Linked DNA regions of Drosophila melanogaster. The protein of the gene in region 2 interacts with the protein of the main gene of each other region in a pairwise test. Each region holds a gene or a part of one and is shown on either strand. Other genes may lie near its edges.

The links.
Region 1: the proteins of O-fut2 (region 2) and CG10444 interact in a two-hybrid assay, tested with the Drosophila melanogaster proteins (one large-scale study listed by BioGRID).
Region 3: the proteins of O-fut2 (region 2) and CG15211 interact in a two-hybrid assay, tested with the Drosophila melanogaster proteins (one large-scale study listed by BioGRID).

Annotation. Positions count from the first base shown.
Region 1 is NT_033778.4:20,272,774-20,276,526, reverse strand, and holds the start of CG10444 (uncharacterized protein), read left to right. Parts: upstream 1-2,027; 5' UTR 2,028-2,288; coding exon 2,289-3,270; intron 3,271-3,327; coding exon 3,328-3,753. Other genes in the region: CG9143 (uncharacterized protein), read left to right, coding at 1-60, 123-381; CG11788 (uncharacterized protein), read right to left, coding at 442-541, 600-1,739, 1,799-1,836.
Region 2 is NC_004354.4:1,464,155-1,467,907, forward strand, and holds O-fut2 (O-fucosyltransferase 2), read right to left. Parts: upstream 1,843-3,753; 5' UTR 1,826-1,842; coding exon 353-1,825; 3' UTR 209-352; downstream 1-208. Other genes in the region: CG14777 (uncharacterized protein), read left to right, coding at 3,657-3,753. UniProt on the Drosophila melanogaster protein: Catalyzes the reaction that attaches fucose through an O-glycosidic linkage to a conserved serine or threonine residue in the consensus sequence C1-X-X-S/T-C2 of thrombospondin type I repeats (TSRs) where C1 and C2 are the first and second cysteines of the repeat, respectively.
Region 3 is NC_004354.4:10,770,863-10,774,615, forward strand, and holds the start of CG15211 (uncharacterized protein), read left to right. Parts: upstream 1-1,678; 5' UTR 1,679-1,764; intron 1,765-1,905; exon of another isoform or gene 1,906-1,935; 5' UTR 1,936-2,136; coding exon 2,137-2,304; intron 2,305-3,753. Other genes in the region: BTBD9 (BTB (POZ) domain containing 9), read left to right, coding at 1-210.

The DNA.
Region 1 (3,753 bases), on a different chromosome or scaffold from region 2:
CTGGATGAAGAAGCACGCTGAGGAAATGGACATGATCATTGATGGCTACAATGACGAATCGTAAGTTTTTTTTAACAAGATCTCATTAAAATGAAGTCTATGACTAACTCTTACTTTTGCAGTGGCAGTGACCAGGATGAGGATCCATTTGTGATTGAGCGACGTCGCAATCGGCTGCGCGTGGAGACAGTTAGAGCGCAGCTCAATGCTCTCCTGGCCCAACCCATCTTCCCCAGAGGCTTCAGCTTCAAGTATCCCAACAGCGAGGCGGCCCAATTAGCCACGAGTCATACTCAAAGTGCCGTGGAGACCATGAAGGCGGCCATAGAGGACCAGAAGCAGGCCAAAAAAGATCGCAACAAGCGAAAACGGAATGCCTAATCTAACTTAAAGCTGTTTTATTGAATAAGAGATACAAAGCTATAGCCTTGGATGTTTCCATCAATGCTTTGAAACAAAGTATCGCACACCTCCATCGGTCAATGAGCGAGCGTGCTTGGCCAATAGTGTGGAAACGGACAAGTTTGGGGTGGTAAAGCACCTAGTTATAAAACCGAAAATCAAAAAAACAATCTAGATATGTGTTCATCATTACTTACTCTATGTACGGTTCCATTTCCTCCATCGTCCATCTCTTTTTAGTCTTAAATAGCGCCCGCATGCGATCGCTTATATTGGTGGGCAGTAACTCCTCTGCCAGGGAGCGTATGCAAGGCTGCGCTCCCTCCTTGTCGCAAATGCCCAGACCTCGTAGGTACTTTAAGTCGCAGGACATGCCCTCGGGCAGTACCTCCTGCCAGGTGCGCATGAACTCCTCGTTGCGAAAGCGCAAACCCGGCTGAAGAATGTTCTGTGCCACAATGCGGGAGACCAAGGACTCCTGGTACTCAAACTTGCCCGGGCAACGTTCACTGGGAATGGTATAGATATCAAACAGCCCAGCCACAACATCCTCTGGAGCTATGCCCTTCAGTGCATTGATGGTCTCCTCCCGTTCCACTTCGTCCAAGGCCCAGGAGTTTTCGCTTATCAAACCCAGCATCATGTTAATAATGCGATACTCGTATTCGTACTCCATCACGCGCATTCGCCCGTCCAGTTCTATGGCTCGATATTGGTTCAATCCCTCCATGAACTGACCGCGGCTGCACTGCACCGTGTCCAGGAGCTGCGAAAAGGTAAAGAGTAGCTTCTGCTCCACGCAGAACTCGTTCTCCGGCCCCGAATATCGAGTCAGCTGCAGTAGTTCACCCAGCTTGCGAAAGCGCGGCTTTATCTCGCGGCACTCGAAGTACTCGTGGAACACCTTGAGCACCGGCCGCTGCTCCAGAGTTCGCGGCACTTCCAGTTCATCCTCCGTGCTGTCATTGAGGCTGCGCTCCAGGGAGGCGTTGGCGTTGCCAGTGCGCGGACTCTTCAGCGGCGAGGTGCTGGTGGCGGCGGCAAACTTGAGGTCCGGTACCAGCAAAAGGCTATTGGATATTTCCGCGCCCTTCACGTCGTACGTTCGCTCATCGGTGCACAGCACCAGCTTCTCGTTCTGGCCACCCTTGAAATATAGCGTCTGGCCGTCGCGGATTTGTCCAAGCATGTGCCCATCGAGCTCCAGAAGGCGCAGATTGTCCGAATCCACGTCCGCCGAGGGAAAGTACAGAGCCTGGGTGAGTTGGGTCAACTGGCGCTCGTCCAGTTTCGCATGCTTCACAATGGCCTTCACATCCTCCGGCGTGCGAACGTAGCTATGGCGGGTGGTTGGGTAACATTATAACTCCTACGCAGGCATACCAAAGGCACTCACAGCTGGGCAGCAGACTCATCAACCTCCATGGATTCCATGTTCGCTGCATGTAAACAAAACAAAAAATTAACCAAAACAATGAGCGGGAAAAAGTAGTGGGACCAAAGCACAGCAATGTTGCTTTCGTTGAGGGTATTCAATGGCCTTTCAATATGTAAGCTTAATGTGCTTGGAAAACATTACAGCATTAATCCGCACACCCTGCAAGGGCACACTCACCGCTCAGCTGATCAGTTATTTAACGGTCGTAGCCTCGGCAAGAACGTTTCTTTTTTGAGCGGAGATTTCGCGAGCACGCGTCTTGTTTTCCGCCGTTCGCCGTGCACTTGGACGCGCACTTTAGAAAGCGTTGACTGCGCCAAAGGTCATTGCTGGGCAAGAGAAGCGTCCAATCGCCGCTGGTGGTGACGCTTGTGGAAAAATCAATTCGGACCAGTGACGGACGTCGAACTTCCAGTTCTCTGACAAGCGGAATCCAGTCAACAACAACATGCCCGTGGGAACGTTTGACGCCTGGGATGCGGCCGTGCTGATCACCATCCTGGTCATATCGGCTCTGATTGGCATCTACTACCGGTATACAGGCGGCAAGCAAAAGACCACACAGGAGTATCTGATGGCGGACCAGAGCATGACCACTTTTCCGGTCTCCTTCAGCCTGATGGCAAGCTTCATGTCCGCCATCTCACTGATGGGCGTCTCCAACGAGTCCTACGAATTTGGTACCATCTTCTGTGTGATCAACATTGCCTACGTGCTGAGTACGCCCATTGCCGCGTACTTCTTCCTTCCTGTTTTCTACAGGATGCGGACGACCAGTGTGTACGAGTATCTGGAGCGGCGCTTTGGCCAGGCCACCCGGCTGTCCGCCTCCCTGGCCTTCACCGTGCAAATGGTGCTTTACATGGGCATTGCACTCTATGCACCAGCGCTCGCTTTAGAAGCTGTAACCGGCATTCATCGGTCAATGGCCATCGTGGTCATTGGACTGGTGTGCACCTTCTATTCGACACTTGGCGGCCTGAAGGCGGTGCTCATCACGGATGTGTTTCAGTCCTTCCTCATGTTTGCCGCCATCTACGCCGTGATTGCCGTGTCGGCCATTAAAGCCGGCGGATTCGCGGCCATCTGGGATGTGGCTGTGGAGCGAGGACGCGTGAACTTCATTGAGTTTTCATTGGATCCCACCGTGAGGCATACTTGGTGGTCTCTGATCATTGGCGGCATGGTCACTTACCTCTCCTTGTATGGCGTTAATCAAACGCAAGTACAGCGACTCCTGAGTGTCCGCAATTTGAAGAGCGCTCAGTCGGCGCTTTGGTGGAACCTGCCCATCCTAGGAATGCTTAGTTTTAGCACCATTTTCAGTGGACTGTCCATATTCTACTATTATCGAGATTGTGACCCTTTGCTAAAGGGACGCATCGACAAGCGGGATCAGATCATGCCCCTTTTCGCACTGGAGACTATGGGTGAGTTGGAAAGACATCCAATAAGAATTAGCATTATTTGATTTCTTTTTCCGGCAGGTCAATATCCTGGACTGTGTGGTCTGTTCGTGTCCGGAATATTCTCCGCCAGTCTTTCCACGATTTCGTCGGCAGTTACCTCGCTGTCGGCTGTAACACTGGAGGATTACCTGAAGCCCTTGTACAAGGCGATATTTAAACGGACGCTAATTGACTCCAAGTCCACGATGCCCACCAAGATTGTGGCGTGCATTTTTGGCCTGCTTTGCATCGGTCTAGCTTTTGTCGCTGGCTCCATGGGCGGAGTTCTTCAGGCATCGCTTACCATTTTCGGTGTGGTAGGCGGTCCGCTGCTGGCCATTTTCACACTGGGAGTCTGCACTACACGCAGCAACCAAAGAGGCGTGCTGCTTGGCTTCCTCGTTTCCCTGATAGTTTCCTTCTGGATGGGATTCGGCGGACCCAAACCAAAGCCAGTTACCTTGG
Region 2 (3,753 bases):
TTATTTTGATTGTCAAAAACACGTGCAATGTTTGCCCGAAATGCTATCGAGGTCTATCGTGAAATCGATATGGCGAGATTCGATTCCTGTCGTCAATCGATATTTACAGGTCGAGTTTAAATTTCAATTTGCATTTTTTGGAATGTGGCAACGCTAAAGGAGCGGGTAAATTTAAACATTTACCCTCTGAACATTACACATTATAATTGACTTTTCTGCTAGCACTTTTCTGTTGGCTTTAGATTTATTTTTGGTACACAATCGCAGGTGGTTCGGAATCCCGTTTGCTCTCTTACGTTGGCTTTGGACTTAAAACTAGGTCTTGAGATGTCAGGTGGGAGCTACAGATGGATCAGTACGGGTCGGAATCTTCCTCGCTGTCGCTATCGCCATCCGCCCACACAATGGGCCACACGGCGTTGCGCGAGCAGCTGCCGCCTAAGGCCTTGCAGAACGTGTTAAAGGTGCTGGCCTGGGTAAAGCCGAGGATCTCGCGCTCCTCGTAGATGCGGTACGTGAAGGTGCTCTCGTAGGTGCCCACAAAGTAGCGGGCGTAGGCGCAGACCAGCTGGTCCACCACCGCCACGCCCCCATCCTTCAGCTCCCTTCGTTGGACATTCGACTCCGGCGCGAAGTGCACGAGGCGGAAGCGGTAGAAGAGCTCCTTTAGTTCCATCAGCTCGTATGGCGTGGCGTCAGTGGCCAGGAACACTGTGGTCATGTTAAACCCGCGCAGCAGCTGCTTGACCTGCTGGGCAGCCGCCTTCAGGGTGGGAGTGGTCGCATCCCGCGAGCGAACAAAGTCGCCCCGCCTTAGGTGGGCGCAGAGGTAATCGCCGCCCTTGGCGTTGCGCTTCGGCCGCTCCAGCTCCCACATGGCGGGCCGTTGGACACCGGCCGAAGCATCTGTGGTGTCCAGGGCCTGCCGTCGGAAGTCGGCGGCCACCTGTTCGAGCCGACGGGCGAAACGCATGGAACGCCGGGCCTGCCAAAAGTGCTCGTCGCCCCAGTGGTCGTGAAGCACCGTTTCGGCGCTGAGCAAAGCGTACGTGCGCATGTCGTCGACGTCCTCCGGTCCCGCCGTGTCCTCGTCGATCGCCTCGCGAAGCAACTTCTCCAGCAGTCCGGCGCTGCCCTGGAACCGAACGCAGTGGAAACGCCCCACGCGCAGCTCCGCCTGCTGCAGCAATGGTCCTCCCGACAGGGATCCCTCGCTGCACGGCTTGTCCGTGACGCGCTCGAACTTGTCCCGAAATATGCCCTGTTCTAGCATGACCTCGTAGTGCTGCAACCGGAAAGCGTGCCCTACATGGACCAGCGGTGCGCCAGGATTGCCGAATAAGCGCTGTTCGGCCAGGAATTCCTCGTAGTCCAGAACGGGCGCGTAGCGACGCAGACTGGCCAAGTCGAAGAAGTGGCTCCAGGGCAGTCCAGATTGCTGCAGGCCCTGCGAGTGCCAGTGGTAGAGGCGGGGCCACGGCGGCAGCACAAGGCGCACATGGCGAAAGCGCCTTCTCCTCTGCAGCCGGCGCACGAACACCGCCATGCGAATATAGACGTCTCGGCGCAGGTTGAAGCCCTCGGAGATGTTTACGTCGTAAAGGATATACACGGCGCCCCTCATCCCGAGCACCTCAGGCGGACAAGTCGCTGGCAGTGGCAGGATCTCCTGCAGGAACCCTTTGACGCAGGTGCCGCTGCTTCCCCGGGAATCGCCAATTTCCCGCTTTGCAGTCCCATTCCGGACGGCGGCATCCGAGCCGGTCAGCAGATGGAGGAGCAGGAGCAGCGCCGGGAACCCAAGCCTGGGCCAGCTCCCTCGCATTTTTGGTTTGGAATGGAGTGGCTGTGGCGGCGGTCAGTAAAAAACCCTAACGCATTTGGTATTTTACACGGGAATAAAACAAAGAAAAACATATGACTTTGATTTCTAACAACGGACAATCCACTCTTTCCAATATTTTAGCAGCTGTACAGATAAAACCTATAATTTTTTTTATAAAAAAAGGCCTATAGAAAACCCATGTACATTACGGGAGTGATACACCATAACTTTGCAAAAAAAAACCACACAGCCAAAAAACTTACAGTTTTGTGCAGCTTACGATCCCAACTAACGACCCATATCACTTTCCTGCTGATTTTGAAAAATTTATTTTTTTCCAAAATTTTGCAATTTCGATAAGGGATAACATCAAGAAATTTTGCGAAAAATGTAAAAAAATTTTCATTTCCAGCCTGGAACGCCATTCGATTGCAATTTTTATTGCGAGTGCAACGAGGTATGGCACTTAATGATGGGGCTGTTATTTACGTTGTGGTGAACAAAAAACTGGCAGAAAACCAGGATATCAGTAATAGTGTTCTTATCAAAAAATCCGCATTCTCATAAGGTTGTTGCCGAGCTCGAATGCAAATCGATGTCTATTTGCACTATTATTCCCAACGATTTCCATATAGCACCTGCTTGAATGGGTCTTTAAAAAAGCGTATGTAAAAAGCTGCGCGAAAGCTTCGCTCGCTAATCTCGAACAGCTGAGTGTGCAAAACATTTCGTATTGGCGTTCTGGCGTTTTGGGGCCGTCTGGATGCCTCACTCAGTCAGATACGAGATACGGAAGCCCAGCGAACGGAGGAGGGCGTGAGATGCGGACGCCGTGCGTGACCACAGTACAAACTAGATTACATTAAGTTAGACTAGCTAATCCCAAGCTGAACCCAGGCCCCTTTCCCGCCGTCTGGACCCCTCTACCCCGTCCGGAACGCTCTACGAAAGCAAGTAACTAACTAACACACCACTCACCGGGCAGCAACAACAGAAACGAAGATGGAGGGGCGACGGGCGGCACGATCTGCTCGGTCACGCTCTCGTTTACGAGCGACGTAAGGTGTTTGCGTAGTGACTGGCGCGGGAGAGCCAAACGTGCCGTTATTCTTCATTCATCAATGGCGAGCCTCCCCCTCGTGCACCCGAACCCACACGCCTGTCTCGTTACGTAAAGTCCTTGCAAAAAAAACTTCCACTCTCGTTGCGTGAGAGGAAATCCAGGAGCTGATTGAGGGTCACTGGGATGCTTCGTACAGAGTTCACTACTCGACCAAATTCGTAGAATGAATTTCGTAATTCGGGAATGTTTTTCCCCCCGCCATATATACATAAATACTCAGTCTCGTGCCTGTCAAGATCCCAATGTGCCCAATGTGCACCCCTCCCTTTTGTGAGCGGCATGCACATGGTGTTGGTGCCGCTCGCTCGGCTGAGGGTCAAGATCGCCGCAAAGAAATGCTCGCGAAGCCTAATATTTGTGCATCCCGCGACTGCCATGTTTGAATTTAGCATTCGCAAACTGCACTCATCCCACTCATCGTGCAGTTTCAGTGCGGCATTCGGCGCAGGCGAACAGCCCATAGCGATATCGAAACCCCATAGCCACAGGCCACATACCAGAGAGCACAGATCACAGCAAGTACCCTCCATATTAAGTACCATGGCCAGCTCCTGTCCCCGCGGCGCGCATTCAATGACCTTCGAATATTGCTAGGAAGGCCGACCTCCCCTTCGTCGTCGTTGCTGTCGTTGTTTTGGTTTAGGTTGAGCAATAGTCTAAGACCCGCCCGTTACCCTTCTCCATGTCTCCTTCCGGGCAGCATAAGTGATGGTGCCTGCGGCCGTCAAGCTGTTGCAGGCCTCGCTGGGCCAGTGGCGTCGAGGGAGCAAGCTGCATCCCATGGCCAAGGGCGCGCTCACGTACG
Region 3 (3,753 bases), 9.3 Mb from region 2:
CTTCCGGCTCCTCTGACCCCGGCAACCTCGTCGCCGCATAACAACCATGAACAAAATCAGCCAAGTAATATCAGTGCAGACGCAAGCCACCACACCAGTCCAAGTTCAAGGAGCAACCCCAGTCCCAGCCTAAGTAGGAGCAGAAGCCAGAGTGCGGAGTTGGAGCCAGTGCCGCCATTGGTTGAGCTTGACACCAGGGAGACGCTCTGAGCTGATCGCCGCTGCGGCCGATAATGTTTTGTACTTGAAATACTCCTGTGGTCTGTTAGCTGTTAGTCTCCGCGCTTAGTTATATTTTGCAGACCGTGCTGCTCTTGTTATCTAGTCCTTCCCAGTGCCCCAATGCTTGGTGGTTCCAAAACCTGTGCATTGCATATTGGTTTTGCGTTATTACCTTCGTTATATACTATATGTATATACATATATATATATATAGATATATGTTTTTATAATTTTATTGTGATCCAAAAATAATTCCTTATGTTTGCAAGGCAGCAGAGTTATTTATATAAGCAATATAACTGAATTCTATGCACACACACACCCACCCACACACACACCACACACACACACCACACACACACACACATGTTTAACGCGAACTCGAATGCGATTTCCGAGCAGCTGAACCAAAATTGTATACGATATCCGATCGCATAGTATAAATCTGTACTGTCTAGCCTTATGTCCGGTCCATGTCCTTGTCCAAATCAATCCATTTGATCCGCAACTCGTAGTCTTTAGGCTCATCGAGCGGCCCAAAAATTAGGCTCTATTTATTAGGCAAATTTTGTCATAGTTTGTATTGCACGCAAATAAAAGCTAACCAAAAAAATGAAAACACCGCTTATTGTTTCACTTGCAAACCAATCGGTTTCTTATAAAATTTTTAAAGTCCCTCACACATTTCAACCACGAATTGTGCCGTGTGTGACCACTGTGCACCACACATGCCACCCACTGTTGCCCCAACATCCACAACACGCTCCACTGTTTTGAAATTCCGATCAGAGGCGACCCACGGCCGTGCTGCAGCGGCAGCCATAAAAGTCGAATCAGAACGTTAAACCAGTTGCGACGCACAGTGGGCGTTGGGAAGAGAGAGAGGGACGCCGATCCAGCGAGCGAATCAGAAAGAGATGGCGAAATGCAGTGCTAGCCAAACGGGAATTTGTGGGTTCTTGAAGAAAACTAAAAAAAAAAGAAAATATTACTCATACGCCGCGTTGTCTACATGATTTAATAATATATATTGCATATTTTGTACGGATGGTTTTAATAAAATGTAAATGTTTTATTGAGAAATCTAGACAACTGTATTTATTTAATAGTTTTACTTTTATTTTGGAATGAACACAATCACACAATACGGTCAATCTGGCCCACTGTGCCGATTATAACAGTTAGCGGCGCAGGCGCAACAAACTAGTTTGCCCCACAAGCAGCGGGGAGTGGCAACTAAGGGGGGTGGGGGGTGGTTCTATTTAGGGCGTTGCAGGGGCGTCGTCAAAGGGCGCGCGCAACTAAATAGCCAACTGACTAACTAACTAACTGGGAGAGCGCGAATGTGAGTGTAAGTCCGAGTGGGAGTGGGAGAGCGAGCGTGAGTGCGCTAGTGTGGAGCGGAGCGGCGTGCGGTTAACCGTTAGCCTGCAGCGGCGGCAAGTTCAGCTCGCAGTTCAGTTCAGTCGACCAGCGGCCGCCGTGGACAAAGCAACGTAACGCCAAAGCAATCGCAGCGCAGCTCATGGATATATAGCTACAGTTAACTACCAGATACTAAACTACACACATTTCACCACATACCCAAATATACCCACCACACGCGGCATATATCTCTATATATATATTTGAGAATTAGAGGCGTGGGGGTTTAGGGGGTGGGGTGGTAACTCGCGCGAGGGCGTCACACGCGTTCATATACATCAGATATAGATATATAGGGTAGCTGCCGATCGACCAGCGAACATATAGAAAGCGGTGGTTATTTTTCTCATCTTATTTTATTGTGACAAAAATCGCGACAAGTGTTTAAAAATAGTTGTTGTGCCCAGCTAATAAAGTAAACTTGCCCGCCAAACTGAAACTGAAACTGAAACTGAAACTAAGCCAAGCCAAACTATAAACAGCAACAATATGGTCGAGACCGTTGTCAATATCGAGCGCACAACAACAACAACGACGAACGGACCGCCAGGTGGAGCGAACCCGACCGTTGGCAGCGGTGGCGGCTTCTGGAGCGCCATTCGCCTCAACATCGACTATTTCCGCACCATACCGGGCATCATCAAAATTGTGGAGTTTGTGAGTACATACAACTAGCTGAGATATATCACTACTATATTTTTATAATTCATTATAAAACAAATGAAAATCTAATACTTAATATTGCAACATATGATATTTCGAAACTATTGAATACGATCCACTTGAGTAGAAGTCTTTTAAAAACTGAAACCAAAAACTGGGCCAAATTTCCAAACATATCAAAATTATGTACATTACATGTTTCTAAACTCTTAGATTTAAAATATGCATAAATGTCGGTTTAAATAGAACTTAGGAATGCGATTATGTTGAAAAAGTACCATAATGTACATACATTATTTTGTGGAATGCTAAATTCAGACATAAGTTTCCGAATTTGGCTGTTATCGTATTTCCTCGAAACTGATAGAGCCTTCGAAACATAAAGTTTCAGAGGGAAATATTAAAATATACGTTGGATAATTGTTGTAGAGAAAAGTTAGAATTCCTCATAGCACTCTTATCGTCATAAATTGAACGGTTTTATCTAGAGTTTGCCTTCCGCCACCATTCTTTATCGAGATATCTCGAGACTTAAGAAACCCTAGAGCCTCGATGTGTACTCAATTACACAAATATGTATACAATATGCCCGACAACAAGTGTGTTGTGCACTTGCCCCTTTTGTGTGTACATATGTCAGGATCTCATTAGACTTACGACGGATAAGATAGGGGTAGACAAGTTGTAGGAACTGCAAACATGTGAGCTCCATGGCCATGTGGTCAACTCATAGCCCTCTTCTTGTATTCCACAGACGTTAAACACTTAACGCATTTGGCCTGGTATTCGAAGCTATGTATGATCTATCTTTTTTCCCACAAATCCGCAGCAAAATGAAGTTAAAGTGTGGGCGATGCAATCGGTATGCGACGCCAACACAAGGTACTCGCAATTATATGAGTGGGCACTGGGGTAACTCAACTACCGCTCGGATGGATCACCTGCTCAGGTGTAGAAAGTTTTCAGGCAAAAATTTCTCTATTCTCAATGGGCCAACGCTTGGTGGGCACAAGGTCAAGGGATAACGACAAGTGCTTGGGACCCACATGAAAAATGCATTATTAAGCGCTCGTCAGTTGTTACGGAGAAAATCAATAGCGGATAAATGGGAGGAGTGCTGGGTGCTTCGATGATATGATTACCGTCACAATAAGCTGTCGTTTATTAACTTATATATATTGATTTTCTGTTCTGAAAATCGGCTATTATCAGGCGACTAAGCTAGTTTAGCTGACGGCTGACGAAGTAATTTGCGGATGTTCTGGTAGGACTTATTTCCAATTCATATACTAATCTGACCAAAAAAGGAAAGCAAATACTTGTCATTCAAATATGCTTTGATTTCACCAATGGCTAGTTAATTTTCTTTTTCGGTTAGCGGTGTGCCTGTCGATTGGGATATTTTTGTGGCAACTAATCTTATCGGTACCCTTAAGCGATAGT